Linked DNA regions of Drosophila melanogaster. The protein of the gene in region 1 interacts with the protein of each later gene in a pairwise test. Each region holds a gene or a part of one and is shown in the gene's direction. Other genes may lie near its edges.

The links.
Region 2: the proteins of for (region 1) and CG12065 interact in a two-hybrid assay, tested with the Drosophila melanogaster proteins (one large-scale study listed by BioGRID).

What each region holds. Positions count from the first base shown.
Region 1 is NT_033779.5:3,652,084-3,661,912, reverse strand, and holds the start of for (foraging), read left to right. Parts: upstream 1-4,959; 5' UTR 4,960-5,191; exon of another isoform or gene 5,192-5,205; intron 5,206-6,327; 5' UTR 6,328-6,643; intron 6,644-9,829.
Region 2 is NC_004354.4:8,570,045-8,580,251, forward strand, and holds the start of CG12065 (uncharacterized protein), read left to right. Parts: upstream 1-4,261; 5' UTR 4,262-4,363; intron 4,364-5,303; exon of another isoform or gene 5,304-5,306; 5' UTR 5,307-5,446; intron 5,447-10,207. Other genes in the region: CG12111 (uncharacterized protein), read right to left, coding at 246-700, 767-878; spirit (serine protease immune response integrator), read right to left, coding at 1,294-1,924, 2,047-2,263, 2,415-2,669, 2,784-2,862.

The sequences.
Region 1 (9,829 bases):
CAAAAAATAAATAACTAAGTGAATTTCAGTTAATTTATTATGGAGCATCATTGTTATGGCTTTTCTGTTTCCTCCCCCAAAGAAGAAAACACCCCGTATAATAGCAATTCCCAATCCCAGTGACGCCATCTTGGATCCCATTTATTATTGTTTGCCTGAATGGGTTCCTCTAGCTGTCCTTCGCCCCTCGACCTCTGACCCCTCTCTCAACCCCACCCCCCCTTCTTGCCACATGGCTCTTTGGCCACAATTACGAAATGAATTTGTGGCCTTCCGCAGTCCCTATTCTTCCCCTTTTATGCACTGCCGTAATTCCATCACAAATCTTACCTGAAATGTTCTTATTCCTAGGTAAAACATTATATAAATATCAAGCGAAATAAAATACTTTGCTTTACAATCTTTGAAATAGTATGAGTAGATGCTCTTCAAATTCTAAAAAAAACATGTAATATTTTTTATAATATTTTGCAACTGCTTTCTATTTTATTATCATAATCCAATTGTAAAAACTTGATCATCATTTGAGAATATATTTTTTAAAGTGTTCTGAATTTGGCATTTTGGGCGTGCAGGATAACTATTCAGTTTCTTCTGGCTCTCCTACGCTCTCCCCTCGCCTGCCGCTCCTTTCATTTGGGGGTAGCCTGTCAGGCCTGCAAATTGGCGCCCTGATTTATGACTTTGTCTATTGTTAGCTTACTTCCTTTGCCACCCACAGGCTCCTGGATTGCGGCCCCACTACGTTCCTCCATCATTAGTTTGTATTTTAGTTTCATTTCCAATCCGAATTTCATTTCATTTTGCGCTTAAATTTTGTTTTGTCCTCTTTGATTGTGTTTATTTTCCACTCCCTCTACATTTTCGGCGCTTTTCTTGGTTGGTTCGTTTTAGTGGAATTACCTACTTCATAATAGATGAGTCTGGGATTCGTTTTGGACGCCAGAGAGAAGGCGTGGCACTCGGCTTCTAACGCCTCTTCCTTTGGCAGGTGAGTTTCCAGCGATTCGGAGGAGGAAAAAAGATTTTTCCATCCACGGAAACTACTCGTGTTGCATTTTCCACTTTGGGTGGATGATTTTATAACAGTTTGCTTGTCATAAAATTGTCAATATTGGCGAAGTTATCAGTTATGTGATAAGCTTTGTTGTTATGAGCTATTTGTTATAATTTTACAAAAATTACTTAGAGATGCGCTTATTAATAACTTAAGCAAATAGCACGCCTTGGCTTTCTTAATCTTCTAATATCTTTCTACAATTTGAACTAAAGTACTTATTTATTATCCCTTTTCCACCATTTTCTCGGTGCCCGGCAGTTCCTGGGTGAAATTTATGTAATTTATATGGGCACTTGACTGTCTAAATTGCCTGCAGAGCTGAGCCCCACCCGGCAGAAAACCGCCTCAATAGCAGGACAATCTCCAGTCTGCCATCCATTTACCCCCCCCCAACCCCACTTCACGTTTTTTCCAGCCCTCCGCCTTCCACACCCACTGCCCCTTTTGGAGCACGCTTTGCTGCCACTTTTTATATCATCTACTTAGCCCTAATGGCAAATAATTAATTTCCAGCTTCCGCGAAGCCAGTTCTAGCCTGCCACGCCCCCTGGCCAACGCCCACGTAGTAAATGGCCGCATGTAACTGCAGTTTCGCCCCCCCCCCAAAAAAACCCCCTCGCTGGCCCCTGAAACGACCGTTTTCAATTTACAAATTGCTTATTTTCCGAAAACCAAATTGCGAGTGCCTCGGACTTTTGCCAGGAGTGAAAACCCGTAACTGTAACCGGATCCGGATACGGATCCTGATCCGGGACCAGGACGAGGCCAGAAGCAGCAGTTAATGCATTTTACGTGCGGCCAGTTGGGTGGCGAGAAATAAGGGGGGTGTTGGGAAGTGCTGGGTGGGGAAAATGCGCTGCGGCGAAGGCATCTCAATTACGTTTATAAATTTTCCAAGCCAAAATGGCGCAGCCTCCGAAAATGAATAGCCGCCCGAAAGGGACAGCGCGAAATGGGGAAGCGAGACGGCAGGTGGCAAAGGTTTTGGGGCAATTAATAACCATTTCAGACCTCATCGAGATGCTGAAGCATATGAACCAGAAATATGAAAGGTAACTTAAAGTTGAGAAAAGATCTTATTAAAACCCCTTTTTAATATTGCCTACGCCATTGATCTCATAAGCATCAGTCTACCCAGGAAACTCATGAAATATCAACGGAAGTCCCCTTTCCGCTTGTCGAAATTTTATTAACTTCTTTTGGACCAAATTGCATTGCGGTTTATTTGGAGGCCACTTCCCATTGGCAAAAACCAACCCTTACCACTTTTTTATCGGCATTCCGATGCCTTCATCACCTGACTCCTGAAAACGATGCCCGTTTATTTATGATGCGACATTTCAACTCGCATTCGTAGGCTTGAAAAGAGCCTCGAAAATTTATGGGCGCCATCAAAAATTGTTTCAGGCACAAAGGAAAATAGTGCACTTCAAGTTATATAATATTAAAAATATTTAAAACAACTCCAAAAATATTAAAATGTTTTCGAGCTTTAAAATAACTTGCATGTTAAGTTTAAAGGTAAATATTAAATTATAAATTCGCTTAAGTATTAAACACAAATCTGTCAGTGTATATTTATTATTGGGTGAGTATGGGGCTGGAGCCACGCCCAGCGCCTAAGCAAATGGCCAAGACTCCATCGTTGGCCTTTCGGTTTTATGGCCTACGCATCATTTGGCTAAAAGAGGCAAAACGGCTTCCACGGAATCCATTTGGAGGCATGTCTTCGACTACAATTTGGGAATACAACAATTTGGAAGAAAAGGCGGAGTGGCATGGTAATCGTTCTATGAAATGCCTAAATAAAATAAATGGCTAAACAGAATTAGAGTGAAAGGAGCTGCGGCCCAAAAGTATGCGGAATGGCGTTTATTCAATGTTATTTATTGGGAAATGCGGTATCGCATTTAGGATATTTTATTTATCATACGGCTGTACATAAGTGGTGAATTTCTTATTTACGACGAACATTATTTGGCTCTTTTTTTATTGCAAGAAATAAGTGTTTTTTCGAAGAAAGGGTAACAATTTTGTTAAACAATTTAGCTTTTAGTATATTATATATTATAAGATCACATCTTTCCACTCTAAAAGCCAACGAAATTAATTAAAAGCGCAATTAATTTGTTTGACAGCTGAAGAAAACAGACGCCAAGCTTTTGGCTTATTTACAATAAGGGGGTAGAATGGGGGGCCAAAATGGCTGAAAGGGGTGAGGGGGCGGCAGGGGAGGCTGGCTTTTTTCTCCTTTCGTTTGTCTGATTCTGTCGGAATAATAAAAGTAATTTAATTTTAATGAAATTGTTAATACGAAAACAATTTCATTTTGCAAAAAGTTTTGCCTGGGCCAAAAGATGGGCAGAGACGGGGGTGGTGGGGTGTGGAGAGAGAGTGAAATTGCTCGTGACAATGAGTGAACGGGAAAACAACAAACAAACAAACAGGAGTGCGAGAGAAAAGAGAAGGCCAAACGAGCAAACACTACGGTACAGAAAATACAAAAATGCCGTCGCAAAGCCAAACAAAAAAGGCACTGCACAAGCGAAAGAGACAGAAGGAGGGAAAGAGAAAGATAGGGAATGCGAGAAATGAAATGCTGATGCGAAGATTTAATAAATGAAATTGGTGTGTGATTAAAAACACAAAAACCAAACGAAATCCATCTAATCAACTTTTGCTGCCGCCTCACTTTTCCTCTACTTTCTCCTCCTCCTTTTCCACCGACCCGTTTCTCCTTTTGTCCTTTCTCCCAGCTGCTATCTCTTTCCTTCCTTCCCGGCGACGTCGACTGCGAGAGCGGCAGAGGGGTGAAAAGAGGGTTGCGAAGTTGGGGAGGGGTGGCACAATACTGGGGGTGGGTGGTCTTAAGTTTGCAACGCCTTCTTGAGGGAAATTCCCGACCAAAGATCCTTGGATTTTTCTAACCTTACGAAATTGTACATAAATAACGGTTAAAATTAATAAATAATTTTTACAATATGTTACTTATTCCACTTAAACATTTATGTTTAATTAAAAAATTTTGAATTTTCAACATGTTTCAAAAAATGTCTTTTTATGTACCATAAAAGATCGGAAAATTCATTCTACCTGTTATATACTTCTTAACAAATCTAGTATACCCTCTTACGAAACGAGTTAAATAGTAAAATTTCCCAGTTTCTTATTCCCCTTTTGGGATTTTCTCTCTTCTCAGGCTCCACCCCTACATATGAGCAGAAAATGGCTCTGAAATGCCTATACATACACATATTTACATACATGACGGCCAGTTGCTATGACATTCTACATCTTACATGCATAATAAATCTGAAATGTAACGTACAACGTAAGTTAGAAATCACTAAAATGAAAAATGGCGCTGTATTAGTTCCAAAAACAAACACCATTTGTCGTAAACGGATAGGCGTTGTGTGCTGTTAGTTCCAAAAGTATACGAGAAAAGTTGAATAAATCATGGCGCAGAGTTAATCCTGCATTGGCAATTTATAATACTAGATTAATTTAAGACCGATCTTGACCAACTTCAATGATGATTTCATTCGGAATGATTATTAAAATCAAACTGATACATCATCTCTGAGAGAACTAGCAGGGAAAATATTATAAATTCTACTACTCTACTAAATCTACTCCTTTCACATAGTATATTTACGTTAACAAACAAAGTACACTTTTATTAATATGAATATTTTGTTATTTGATTAAAGTAATTAATTTGTAGAAAGGATTGAGCATAATATTGTTTTAAATTTTTTTTTTCTATCTCAACGCTAATTCATAACATTGCATCAGAAGAGAAAATAATTTTTTAAAAATTAAGAGAAAAAATGCTAATGTGCTCTTTATTTCATAATATTCGAGTAGTGGTAGCGAGTAAGTTGTTTGTTTCATTTTCAGTCTGTTGGAATTTCTCGTGCTGTGCGGTTGTCATTTGTCGCGATCGTGCTTGGAATTGACTTTAGCGGCATTTTTATAAGAATCAATGCAACGCGTGGTTTTCCTGCAAATTTTGGCACAAGTTCTTAATAAAAGAAAAAAAATATATATATATATGGCATTGGCGTTTATCAGAATAATCCACATCGCCATTTAGTTCGGTGGTTTTTCATCGACTTGTGCTTGTGTGTGCGTGCCACTTGGTTAGTTGTTGCTGCTTTCGCTAGTCGTACGATCTAGCATTTGTGCTCAATTCTGAATTCTAAAATAAAACAACAACTAGCGTTTTCCATATGTGCAACTATTTGCCTTAAAAAGCAATTAAAGCAAAGGCAGTGGTTAAAGTTGACTAAATATTAGTAAAACGTGAATTGTGAATGCAGTTTTGGTGCATTAAGCGAAGAGAGTGGAAGAGAGAGCGGCTCTCTTTTAGTTTGTGATTTCAAAGTGGAAAATTATTAATTCAAATGCAGTCTGCAATTAATTTCATGGAAAATCACTTGTTAGCTGCTCGTTCGCTCTGTCTCTTTCGCACTTCAGCTGACGAATTTTCCGTGCTAAACTTGACACTTTTCAGTCCATCATTCCAACTAATTCTTTGACTGCAGTTTTGCGTCGCATTTCCTTTCTACGCCGATCTGCCTCTTTGCCTTTCTTTTCTCTGATATATTTCAACAGAAGCTCAGTTGTTGTTGTAACTACTCCTCCTCCTTTTTGTTACTTGCTGCTTGTTTTTGTTGCTCGTCATGTACAATTTTTTCCAATTTGTGCGCCTTTTCATATTTTATTCTGCCGCGCTGTTTTTCTGTTTTCTGTTTCTGTCTCGCCGCCGCTACTATTTTTAGCAACAAGTATGGCTGATGTTGTTGTTGCTGCCGCTCAAGTTAACTACGCTACGCTGGCAGAAACAACAACAAGTCAAACTATGCGGAGCGAGAGAGAGTGAACTGAAAACAAAAAGAGTGAGCGATAAAATCCGCGAGAAAGAGTACAGTGGGGCTCGACTTAAATTATCATATTAAGCCAGATCACAAGTATTAACAAATCGAATGTTCTTAAATCCAATAAGCGTTAATCAGCAATGTTGATCAAAAGTTTTAAAATTATTTAATCGATATCAGTGAACTATTGAATACTATTGGTAAAAGCTCAGTCTTGTTTGCATCTTCAAGTGGGGGTCCCACTGTATTCGACTCAGGTGATAACAATAACAGCGACGAGTGAGAGAACTCTCTCTCACTCTCTCTCCTTCATTTCATTTCCCAATCTTTCGTGTTCGTGTTCTGTGGCTAATAGCATTTAAATTTTAATGCCCAATTTCATAGAAACGCAACGCAAGTGGAAAGACTCGAGAAAACAAAAGTGCAGGCCGTCTAAATTGATGGCGAAGTTTCGTGTGCCGCCTGCATTTCATTTATAAATATATTTTCGGCCTTAATTCTGTGCTTCCTGTGAATTAACGAGGAAACTGAAGAGTGCGCGAGCGAGACAGCCGATCACAAATCAACAAGTGGAAACGAAGAAACTTTCTTCGCAAAAGCCGGCTGATCGCAACAACAAGAAGAAAAGAGAGCGATTCTCTGCGACTGGAACCATAACATTTACATCGACCCTGGAATTTCTTCACTTTTCGTCCAACATGTAAGCTCCATTTTAATATGCAATTACTGTTCGCTGTTGTCGAACAGCAACTTATTTATTCATACTTATTGTTTATTTATGGATTTATGCCGCCTACGAACTTTGTGATTGCACAATCGTTCGGCCTTTGAATAATTTTTTTTTTCGCCAAGGCGCCCTTTTGTCTATATACCCATCTCTTTCGACTGCTCCAGTGCTGTCTTTTTCTGGTCCGTGCTTTGAATAAACAATTAAGGCTCAGGGTCTTTAAGCCCTTTTCTCCGCCTTAGAGCCGAAAGTGATTGTTGTAATTTATAATTTATATTTCCTTTCTTAATAAATAAATAAATAGTCAAGTTTATGTTTGAGTTTTATGATTTATATTTTAAGTTATTTCAACTGCAACACCAGCACCACGACCTACTCACAGCAAAAAACGTACAAGAAGGAAAGAAGGAATAAAAAGAGTGGTATTCTCTTACAATATGTTTTATGGCATAAAAGGTGTGGCCATTCATATCAAATATAAAGTAGTGTTGTTTAACGTTATTTTTGTAGGTTGAATAGTATATTCCAACACGCCCCCTCAAAAATAACGTCTATAATTAAAAACATAACAATAATATTCATTAGTAACTATCAAATGTGGGTGGTGTGCATTCTGGGAAGTGTTAACTGATCCAGCATTTGCTGCGAGGATACGGGGAAAACCCAGAAAAACCCGATCAGATCATTGTAACAAAATATGTTTACAGGAATTTAAATTTGAAAAATATATATAAAAATTTCATTCAGCATTCGATTGGTCGTCTTGCAGCAAACCCAATTTGTCTCGTAACTCCACAAATCTCGCAGCAGGCAACGGTTTTGTAAATATGTCAGCCAGTTGATTCTCTGTAGGAATATACTCAAGACAAATCACATTATTCTGAACTTGCTCTCTGGCAAAATGATATTTAATATCAATATGTTTAGCTCGTTTATGACATGAGGGATTGTTTGCTATGCTAATACAGCCTTGATTGTCTTCGTAAATTTTAATGGGGTTTTCTAGTTTAATGTTAATACTAGTTAATAAAAATTTAAGCCATAGAGCTTCTCTCACGGCTTCAAATAGGGCCATATACTCAGCTTCAGTTGATGAGGCTGCTACTGAGTTCTGTCTCTTTGTATTCCAACAAATGAGATTAAAATCAAACATTTTGAATAAATACCCTGTTGTACTTTTTCTATCAATTTCACTACCAGCCCAATCAGAATCCACATAACCAATAATTTTATTTTCAAATGCCAAGTTCTTTTTAAAAATCAATTTCATATCGATAGTGCCCTTCAAATATCTAAGAACTCTTTTTAAGTTCTGCCATAATTCGGAGTTATTTTTGCTACTATATCTGCTCAAGATATTTACTGCAGTAGTTAAATCTGGGCGTGTACAAAGCATTATGTACATTAAACATCCTATGAGGCTACGGCATGGGGTATTGCAGTCTTCATCTGAATTAAGTAATTCATAATTTATTTTACTAGGTAAAGGAGTACTAACTGCATTACAATTTTCCATGTTAAATTTACTTAAAATTTTTTTAACATATGCAGATTGGCTTAAATAGATTTTATCTTCCTGCATCTCTATCCTAATTCCAATAAAATGTTTTATTTCATTTAGGTCAGTCATCCTAAACTTTTCCATTAAATACCTTTTGAAGTTATTCATTCTTGTCATATCTCCTGTAGCTATAACCACATCATCTACATATAATAATACATATATGTTTTCATTGATGTTACCTTTGTCTAAAATATATATACAGCGATCAACTGAAGAGTTTACAAACTCACACTCTTTCAATGCTTGCTCAAATACTTCAAACCAGCATCTAGCCGCTTGCTTGAGTCCGTAAATTGCCTTATTCAATTTACACACATTGTCACTATTACACGATATACCTTGAGGAAGTCTCATATAAATTTCCTCTTTTAACGTGCCATTTAAGAAAGCTGTTTTTACATCCATTTGATGGACTTTCAAGTTATACTGTATTACTAATGACAATATAAATCGGAAACTTGAAATTCTAGCTACAGGAGCAAATGTCTCTTCATAGTCTATTTGGTATTTTTGAGTGAATCCTCGTGCAACCAATCTAGCTTTGTATCTAATTGGATTTCCAAGTTCATTATATTTAACAGAAAATACCCATCTGCTATCTACAATATTTTTGTTTTCAGGCCTTTTTGTAATTGTCCAAGTATTATTAATTTTATGAGCATTTAACTCTGTATTGATGGCTTCTTCCCAAGAAGATTTATCATCCCTATATTGAATTTCATCAAATGAATTTGGGACATCGTTAAATATAGTGTGAGCATTTAGAACAACTTTATTTAGACTATTATCCTCTTCATTATAGGATATCTGAGGCTTAGTCTTTAATCTCTCACTTCTTCTATTAATAATTTCTATGCCATCATTTTTAGTTGGATTATCAATTCCAATTTCTTTTAAGTGCTCTGCTGTTTCACTTTCCCTACTCTCATTCGGGTTGCCTGATCCCTTACTTTCATTCAGGTGATCATCTCGCTTTCTTTTCTTACTCTCATTCAGAAAATATTTATTACTTTCCTTACTATCTTTCAGGAATTGTATGTTGTCGCATTCCTTACTCTCATTCGGGAATTCTGTTTGTATTATTTTCCTACTGTCATTCGGAAAATTTTTATTTTCACTTTCCTTACTATCTTTCAGGAATTGTATGTTGTCGCATTCCTTACTCTCATTCGGGAACTCTGTTTGTATTATTTTCCTACTGTCATTCGGAAAATTTTTATTTTCACTTTCCTTACTATCTTTCAGGAACACTGTTTCAAATTTAACAGCTCTAGAATTAACCATATTGGTTTCATCGACAACAACATCTCTTGCGACAATAAATTTTTCATTTACAGCATCCCACAACTTAAAACCATTGGGTTCATAGCCCACAAAAATACTTTTAAATGATTTATCATCAAACTTTCCTTGTTTGTTTTTAATATGCACATAAACAGTTGCACCAAACACTCTCAAATGTTTTAAGTATGGCTTCTTATTGTGCCACATCTCATATGGGGTCTTTGAACTATCAACAAGTGCTCTACTAGGAATTCTGTTGATTAAATAAGTAGCAGTTAATACTGCTTCGCCCCAAAAGCTTTTATCTAGCT
Region 2 (10,207 bases), on another chromosome or scaffold:
ATCGTAACAATTTAGTATGCAAAAATCGTAAATCTAACTGATTGTATAATTAGCGAAAAGAGAATAACGGATGCGATAAGCAAAACGATGCGACAAATAAAAGCCGGCAAAAACTACAACTTTTGTTTTTAATATGTACCAATATTCGTAATATTCGTAAAACAACTCGGTTTTGCCCCAACTTCAATTGAACTTATTTTAATATATGTATGTAATGCTGGTTTTATTTTAGAACCAATCGAAAACTACCACTTAATGTAGGTGAACTTGAAGGTTTTCGGTTCCGTCGCCTCGCAGACGTACAGCATCTGGATCTTGCAGTTGGCATCGTTGATCATCTCCCGGGTGGCGAACATGTGGACGCAGTTCTCGTTGCCGCCGTAGTTATCCGGCATTTGCTTGGGCCCGTTCCAAGGGGCGTAGGTCATCGGGCGGCCGTTGGACATCCAATAGAAGGCGCCCTCGGTGCCCAGGTCATTGCCCGATATCCAAAAGTAATCATTGTTCTTGAACCCCTTGGCCTTCATGTATTTGATCAGCGCCTCCATTTCCGGCTTATCCTCGATGGAGGCCAAGTGGGCGTTCATCATGCGACAGGCGCCGGCCGCCTGAAACCAATTCACCTTATTCATGGGCTCGATGTAGTAATAGTTGTCCCCGATCCGCACGAACGGTGTGGTATCAATCTCCGATGGAATGCCTAGCGATATTGTGGGATTTCTTTATTAGTCCGCCACACTTTACAAACAATTCCTATTATACATACCATTATAGACCTCGGTGCGGTAGTTGGTGAATATGTTCACATCGGGCAGATAGGCCAGTGACGGTATCCCGACGCTCGTCAGGATTAGCAGCAGAGTCTCGGTGCGGTACATCAGTGGTCAGCGGTTCGTGCTCAAGTATCCGTCTCCTGCGGTTCTGGCCACTTATATATCCATGCTGCGCAGCTGTTTATCCAATGGGTATCGGCTGAAATAGCAACATGATTCCAAACAAGAAACTCAATCCAACAAACGGACATGAGTGAAAAGTTATAAATATGGTTTTGTTTATTTAAAATCTCAATTGTTGATTTTGTTAGCAAGTTTATTCGATATGCGCTATTATGCAGTTGGCTTTTGCTTACGGTTAAGTTTAAATAAAGTTTTAAACACTAAACGAGCTCAAAAATAAATATTTCTTGAAATTTGTTGATTTACCTAATAGTGTATGTAAATATTCAAATAATTTCTTGCTGGATCATTTTGTAAATCTATTCCTGTATATATATGGAGCTTTCGAAAGCAAAACTCAGATCGTCGCCCGCAGATCGAATTCGGGACTGAAACTGGTCATCTGGTTGGGTTGCGGTGCGTTCGTCACCTGCTGCGCCGGCCACACAATGCCCTCGATCCAGTCGACGAAGCTGGACACCCTGGTGTACACCGATGGCGGTCCACTGGCGCATCCCTGTCCCAGCGATGTGATGCCCACCACATAGCCAAGCAGGCCGTCCTGCATGAGCAGCGGTCCGCCGGAATCGCCCTGGCAGGTGTCCCGCTCGCCGGTTATATCGCCGGCGCACATCTGCGTGCCCAGCACGCCCTGAGCCAGCTGATCCTTTTGGTAGTGGTGCTGGCACTCCTCGTTGCTCACGCTTTTCAGCGGCACCTTTAGCAGCTGAGCGGAGGATAGACCGGCGAAGCTGGTCTGCCCATAACCAATGGCCGTGACCAGCGTGTTGGTCACCTCCTTCTGCGTCCAAATGCAAGTGGGCTTCAGTTCCGGCTTGGCCGCCGTCTCCAGCTCAAGCAGCGCAATATCGTTGTATGCCGTGCTGGCACTGTAATCCGGATGGATGATCACGCGCCGAATGCTTATATCCTCGCCCTCGGTCAGGGTTAGATTGTCGCCACCGAGGCGCACCTGACTGGGTGGCTCACTGGAAGAGAAGAAGCGACATTAGGATTGAGAGCTCAACAATCTATGTACATACGAATATCAGGGGATATTTCCATTGCCAGGGAAAAACCGCCAATCATGCAGATTAGCGTTCCAACTTACCCGCCCAAATCGGCACAGTGGGCTGCGGTCAGGACAAAGTTGTTGGCGATAAGGGCGCCGCCGCATCGATAGTATATCCTCTGATCGAAGTTCGAACGCCAGCCCAATGCGGCCATGAAGGGGAACTCCCGCGGACGGGTGGGCATGCCGCCCACCACCGACACGAAGAACTCGTCGATCTCTTTGACCTTTGACACCTTGTTCAGTTCATTGCAGGCTGGGGGAAATGGAAACGTCAGGGGATACCCTGTGGTTAGTCATGGATGACAACACATTATAAGGCTCGAAACTAGGGCCAAATGATACATATACTTGCAATAATACAATATGTCTGTTATTTATGGATATGTTGAGGTGGGTCAGCTTACCCTGCTGGCTGGATCGGGTGACAATTGGAGCTACAGCTGGGGCGCAGCACACATAGTGGTCGAACCTCACAAAGTAGCAGGTCTTGGGCGATTCGCGCCGCTCTAGCCAGCCGTTCAGGGCACTGGGACAGTCCTCCATGCGCCGGCAGGTGCCCTTCGTCCGCGCCACGTCCTCCAGTTGGCACTCATCGAAGGTTTCGACGGGGAAGATGATGCCGCGCAACGATTGCGGACTTATGGCGGGCGTGGCGTGAACTTCGACGAAAAAAGTACCATTTGAATGGATGTGAAATACATGTGAGTCAGCCAGTCACTCGACGCGACTGAGCTGGGAAAACCCCTTGATCGATCAGATATTCCTGTACTCACCTGCCAAAAGTGGTAGCGACACCAGCAGAAGGTGCAGATACACACGAGTGGGTATGCAATGGGTAGACCGAATGCTCATCCTCCGTTCTTGATCAGCGCCAGCGGCGGACTGCAGTGGGGTCAGCTCGACAAGTGGCGATCCCAGATCGGAAAGCAGAAACCAGCCGGGCAACTTCCAACATCCAAGTGCCAATTAACCGAAAGCCAACGGACACACAGTGAGAAAAGCGACACAATATACATACAATATAGATGGGGAGTACAAAAGTGCATTTATTTTTTGAATTCTATAAACTTGAAAGTGTAGAGCAAACATAGTGCATTTTTTTTTTGCACATATAGATTCCTAAAAGCATTAAAATAAATTTGTACTTTCTGTTTGAAATACAATAAAGGTTATTCGCGTTCATTATACATTTTGATTATTGTCGTGCCAACTTGGATTTATTGATTTCAAACAAAAAAAATACGCATTTGTTTAATTCCCGAGCTGTATTATCTGCTCGGTCGCTTCTTGACTTTTGTGACACGAGTTTTGGGCTTTTTTGATAGCAGCCAGAATCGAAACGAAAGCAATATATTGTATTATATAAGCAAGAACAACCGGTTCTGCCGCTAAATTCATTTGTTTACTTGGATTTGGCTCATTGAACTTGGCTTATATGAATTGTTTACATTTGTTTACTTTATGTTTTTTATACTTTGCCTTGCAGCGTATCCAGCTATCAGCTTACTTGTTTTCAATCAGTGTGAGGCTGCGCGAATGGCGCCATAGTATAAAGTATCTGATTTTCGGAATCTCAGCTTGAAAGGCGACTAAAATCTGGTCACATGTCTTGAAAAGCTTAAATAATGATTAAACAATCGCATAGTGACGATCGAACTGTGTACAATCATATTAAAATGCTATAAAAAGGACGCTCGTGCTGCTTCTGCGTGTAAATCGGAAAAAAATGCCTCGTCATTCCATCTTCGTCCATATCACCTCAGATGAAACCTCCGATGAAGATAAATCCAGCAGGCTTGGAAAGCCGAAGGGACTTTATATTCGTTCATGCTTGTTTTCATACGTTTATATCGTGTATTAGAATCTCCGAAGCAACATGTTTTGCCTGTGCTATGTAAACCAAAGTGGCCCTGTATTGCGCCAATTATTTATTTTTCAAAAAATGTGTAACATATTAAATATGTACATATGTATATATACACAGAGGTTGTCAAAAATATTTACACAACGAGCTTTTTTTCAATTAGTTGACAATTGAAAAAAAAAGCTCGTCGTGTAAATACTCTGTAAATATTTTGTTCATTGCGTTTTAAAAAGCTGTTGTAAGCTTCGATTTGTACCAAAAGCTTTTGTTGTAGTGTAACCGGAGCATCAGCGCGTGAGCTTTTCGGTATTCACGCTGCACTGACGGATGGTCACACTATGCGCGGCATTTGGCATTTTTGGCCGCGCAACCGAAAGCCGAATCTGGTCAGTTGAAAAGCGAACTTTGAACAAAACGGACTTTGAAAAGGGTTTCCATCCATCAACATCTATCCCCGTGTTTTCATTTTGTTTTTGCCGGCATTTTGGCGTAAGTGTACGCGCGCTCCTTTGCCGCGACCTTTCCCTTTCCCATCCACCGTCCGTCGTATGCGCCGCGCGCACTAACGGTGAAAATGCGAACAGTGTGCCATTAATTAATATAAATAGCGCGTAATTCAATACACACTTTGTTTTGCGAACGTGAGCTTCTCTACTCTTCGCATTAATGGTTTTTCTTTTTTTGTCTTGCCAGTGCTTCTTGTTTGCCTGTTGGTTTTTGCAAGTGTAGAACAATATGAACAGAATGAGAATTGTAATTGTTTGAAGTTTGAATGGGGTGTGTGGGAGGGAGATGGCAGTACCCGCTGATCAGCTGAAGGTGAACCAGTGTGCTGTTGTTGTTATTGTTTGGCTCATTTCAAGTGCAACCCTTTTATTGCCATCTCTTTCTGCTATTGTCATTCATGACGTCACTAAAAACCGTTTTACAGATCAGATGACTAAGGTGCACTGAACAAAAAGAGATCACTTAATGAATGCTAAGTATTTAAAAAGCCAAACCAACAATTGATGAGTAATAATGTCATTGAAAATGTAAAGTATGTGCCTCGGAATCGATCCACTAGTTTTTTGCGGTGCATTCAGAAGATCGCACAACTTTTGACGCTCTGACGTCAGCTGGATACATTTAGAAATGCTAAGCAATTGGTGACTATTACTTGCGAGAAAACAACAAGCAAAAGGGCAAACAGCAAACAGAGCAAATATCGATGTGTACGGCACTATCATCATCAGTTGATAATGAAAAATTGCCCAACACCCCCTTTGCCATCCAATCACTGATAAGATAAGATATAAACATTCTTCGCTTCGCGTGTTTCGCATTCTTTTTTTTTCCACATGCGCTGTGCATCAATCAGAATTCTGTGAAAAGTTGTTAACACACACGTTCGTTGGCGTTTTTTTGTTGTTTTTTTTTTGTTTTTTAGAAGTAGTGGAATAAACGAAGCAAACCAGCAAGGAAAACATAAAACAAATTAAGCAAATAATAGTGACCGAAAAGGGAGAACCGGTTGCAAATCAAGTGGCAAATAAAACACGTCATTTGTTCGTTTGTTTGATCCAGCAACAGGTGAGTCTAAAAAGCGGGCAAAATGCGGGTGGTAATTGTATTGTTTTGTGGCACTTTCACCAAAATTTTTTGGTGGCCATAATGACGGCTATTTACGAGTACAAAAAGACTAGTTTCCTTTGCCACTTTTGGTCAGTTTTTGAACAATTTGACTGGTTGGTTTCATCGCCCGATTAGATAATGTCTACCAGCTTAATGAGCCATAAATGAATCTAGTAACTTCGTTTTACTTAAGAGCAGATAGGAGGAATATGTACATATATTATATATTATATATATATTTTTCTATTGCAAATAAATGTATCTCCTAGCTTCCCAAAAATTGATGTGCCGTAAAAAAATGAACTATGCCCAAGAACGTGACAATCATATTACAATTTGCAGTGCGAGGGTATCATAAACAAACAATTGGCTGTCGTGCTGCATTTGAATTTTCTAATTTCAATTCATCAAATTCAAGCAATTTGAGCAGCAAGGCCAAGTGAGTATAACGATACTGACCCCCACTAAACTAACCGGAATGATTGCCGTTTATGAGTCTGGGTATTCGTTGTTATTTGAATATAATTCGTATTTTGTATTTGGTACATTTTGCACTTGCTGCTTTGATAACATTATTTGCCCTCTTTGTTGTTTACACTGGTTTTATCTAAATCCATTTCCGCTTCGTTGTCGCAGTTTATTTGCCATTGCTTTGTTTCTAATTCATTCGTCTGACCTGCATTTACCCCCCTCTACGTTATCCGCACTTTATTTTTTTTTTTTGTGTATATTTCCGCTCTTCCAGTCGGTGGAAATTCGAACAATTTCTACGATGCTAAAAACATTTGGTTAACAAAATGTATACAACGGCGAGCAGAGCGAGAAGAAACTGAAAAAGAAAAAGATTCGTGAGAGAAGTCCAAAAATGATCTCATTCTCATATTTATTGTTGCTTACTTGGCACAGTTTTTTTTTTTTTTTTTTTTTTTTGGCTTTTTTTTCCAGTTTTTGTGCCCAGGCAATTTTGTTGCACATTCTAAAAGATTCAGGAGAACTAGGCAATCTTAGATGCCACATCTATTTTCACTCATTGTCTAGAATTTTCGACAGCTATGAATCATGAAAAAACTAGATAATCGCTCAAATAACTTCTTGAATAATATTCTAATAACTATTCTATGCTATTTCTTCACTTAGAACTTTGATATATATTTGATGAGTTTACCAATTCAGATACATACATATGTACATATACACTTACTATGTAGAATTCAGCCCGAAGAGACGAGACCATCTGCTCTCATTATAATTATCTGTTCGATATATACATATATATATGTATATGTACATATATATATTCGGCGCCGGTGTGTGGGTCATTCAACTGGGAGTCCCAACCACTGCCACTCCGCCGGATTCCCGGCTGCCCGGTTGCCCGGTCTTTCGGTCAATCGTCCGGCTCGGCATTTAAAAATAATCTCCACTCAATCTTCTCCTGACTTGAGTTCCTCTGCCATTTGTGGCCCGATCGCGTTGCCACTTTTACATGGATGAAATGAGGCGTGCGGCTGCCCGTTGCTGCAACTGCAACTGGTGTCAAATGATATGTGGATGCTTTGTCAGCGGGACGATGGGGAATTCAACCTCATTGTCGCTTGTCGATAAACAAATGCAATTCGAGATGAGCTGCGAATTTCACCCGCATTTCTGTGCGTTTGGCGGCCCATTTGAAAGTTGTTTTGTAATATTAGAGCTGGGGGAAATATGCTCATATTTGTGCACATGGAAATGCGAGTGGATGTGACCTGAATCTGAAGGGCCTTGCTGCAACTTTGTATGCCCATTATTGTATTCCTTCAAAGCAAATTCGTAACAATATCCTTATCATAAGAATGCACCAACAATGGAGTGTCGTACCTTGGTGGTCTTTCTAATTCGATTTTCAAACGATCGCCAATCAAATTTTAGACTTTAGATTTTGGCATTTAATTGGCAAATTTTGATTCGAAAAAATCTGTTTTTTGTGCAAAACTTTGAAAATAATGGTCGAAATATGGAATGTCATACCTCGTTGAGTTTGTTTTTTAAATTCCAATCGATTTGGATTCAAGTTTGGGAATTCTAGGATTTTTCAATTTTTTGCAAATTTTGATGATGTTACCCCTTACAAAAAATGCGAAAATTTGGCTAAAAATTAATTTTTCATAATCAGTTTAAAAGTGAAAGGGGTTGTTAGTATTGGTTGTAAGGAGTATAAAATGGTACTTCTTTTTGCTCTGTGACCATTTTTAGTCAAGTTATAGCCAAAAAAGCGAACTTGAAAACTCAGTTTTTTGCCAAGAATAGTTTCCAGATTTTTTGTGAAAAAAATATTTGGTTTTTTGATCATAACATTGGAAATAATTACCCAAATATGGAATGTCATACCTCATTGAGTTTGTTTTTTAAATTCCAATCGATTTGCATTCAAGTTTGGGAATTCTAAGATTTTTCAATTTGTTGCAAATTTTGATGATGGTTACCCCTTACAAAAATGCGAAAATTTGGCCAAAAATTAATTTTACAAAATCAGTTCAAAAGTGAAAGGGGTAGTTAGTATTGGTTGTAAGTAGTATAAAATGGTACTTCTTTTTGCTCTGTGACCATTTTTAGTCGAGTTATAGCCAAAAAAGCCAACTTGAAAATTGAGTTTTTTGCCAAGAATAATTTCCAGATTTTTGGTGATAAAAATATTCGGTATTTTGATCATAACATTGGAAATAATTACCCAAATACGGAATGTCATACCTCGTTGCATTCAAGTTTGGGAATTCTAAGATTTTTCAATTTTTTGCAAATTTTGATGATGTTACCCCTTACAGAAAATGCAAAAATTTGGTCAAATTTTTATTTTACAAAAAATGATACGAATGGTTAGTATTGGTAATAAGGATTAAAAAACGGTACTTCCTTAAGTTCTGTGACCACTTTTGATTAATTTACGTCGAAAATCGCGTTTTAAACATGGCAATTTAGTCCAAATTGGCATTATTTTTAATTTATTAATCGATTTCATTTATTAATCGCTATCTAGGCCACTTAATGACGCCTTAATTAGCCTCTAATCGACGCTCCTTTAAAAAGAAAAGCAGCAAACAAAAGCGAAAACCGCCCACTGGCACATTAAAGAACTTTGCCCTCAAAAAGGAAAAGGGGTTTTCTTTGAAATCGATGGTGGGGAGGGGGGTGGGGGATGGGGGTTGTGTGTGTGTGGAAAAGCGGGGGTCTTTCAGCATTTGTAAACTGCATTTTCGATGTGCGTTCTATGTTCCGTGGCCATAAAACTGTCCGACTGGCTGGTCATATTGCCAAGTTGCTCTAATTTATGGAGCACCACCAAATCCACCCAAACCCACCAACCACCACGGTTTTTTTTTTTTCTTGTGTTTTGAAGAGGGTGGTGCTCTGAACTTTGCCACGCTAATTCCCAGAATATTGCCTTGTGTATTGTGTTAGCAAAGGGAAGCCGACTTTTCTTTTCTCGCGTGTTCGAGTGAACTTATTAACGAATGCACTTCTAGCACGTATCTTAAGGGTTTTTGCTTAAGAATTAATGGAAATCGTCTATAGGACGCATTCTGTAATTGCTTTCATACGATTTTCCAAACTATATATATGGCCAGGAAATTATTGTGCAGCCTGCAAAGGGTTATTATTGTTCTTAGACACGTTCATTTAATCTGATTAGTAAGAATAGTATATACATGTAATTAAAAGAGTAAGCAAATCACGTTATTAGATTAGTAATGATATAGGCATATTTATTAATATAGATTTTAAGAAAATATATTAGAAGTTAGCCCGACTGTTTGCTTGTTTCCGATTTAAAGCATTTTCAAATGATTGCGTAGTGTATCTATTAGTCGCACATGTTGCGTATTAATAATCCCATTTCTATTCCGTGCACAAAGGGCATAAAAGCCAGCGGACATGGAAATGGGGATGTAGTGGCCATGATGGAGTTTGGTCATTTCGAGGAGTGAGGGAATTAATTGGAACCCACGCACTGCATCCGAGTATTGATCCGCGGCTAATTGATCGAATGATCCACTCGTAGAACTCCAATTGATGTTGGGTAGTGGGGCGCATGGGTAATGCCGCATGCCACAGCGATGTCGCCACAGAACAGAAGAGCCGCCCCAAAAATATTGCATCAAACCGATTCGCCCGAGAACTTTAATGTTATTATTGTATTATTAGGTTTTTCCCCTATCGCCCACACAAGAGACTCGATGAATAGTTCTTGTGAGCCATCTGACGAGAGATTGGGCAAAGATAAATAAATCTTGCTATCTGAGCATAAATATTTTTCCAATTTGCGCAACATTCGGCGGCAGATGATTCACTCGGCGATTCGAAAGTCCAGACAAACTGACGATAGGAAGTTTATTAATTTGATGATCTCTTGGTAACAAGTCAGCGAAACATACATAGAATAATATGTGAGTAACAATGGAGTGGCCCACTAAAGCTGAAGATAAGCACTAGATGGGTTTTCCCGAGCTATCGTGTTCTTTTCCAAGCTCAGATTGTTTGCTTTTGAAGGTCAGAGCGCTCAGATGGCAACTGGTTTGCCGATTTCAATAGTCGCAAATGCCACGAATATTGCGTCACGGGCGATAAAAGTCATCATAATGAAATACAATACTATACACTCATTATATATATATGTATATATGTATATATGTATTTGAGGGGCTGACGTCATTGCAGATTTGGTTGGGCCTGGTCGAGAAATCC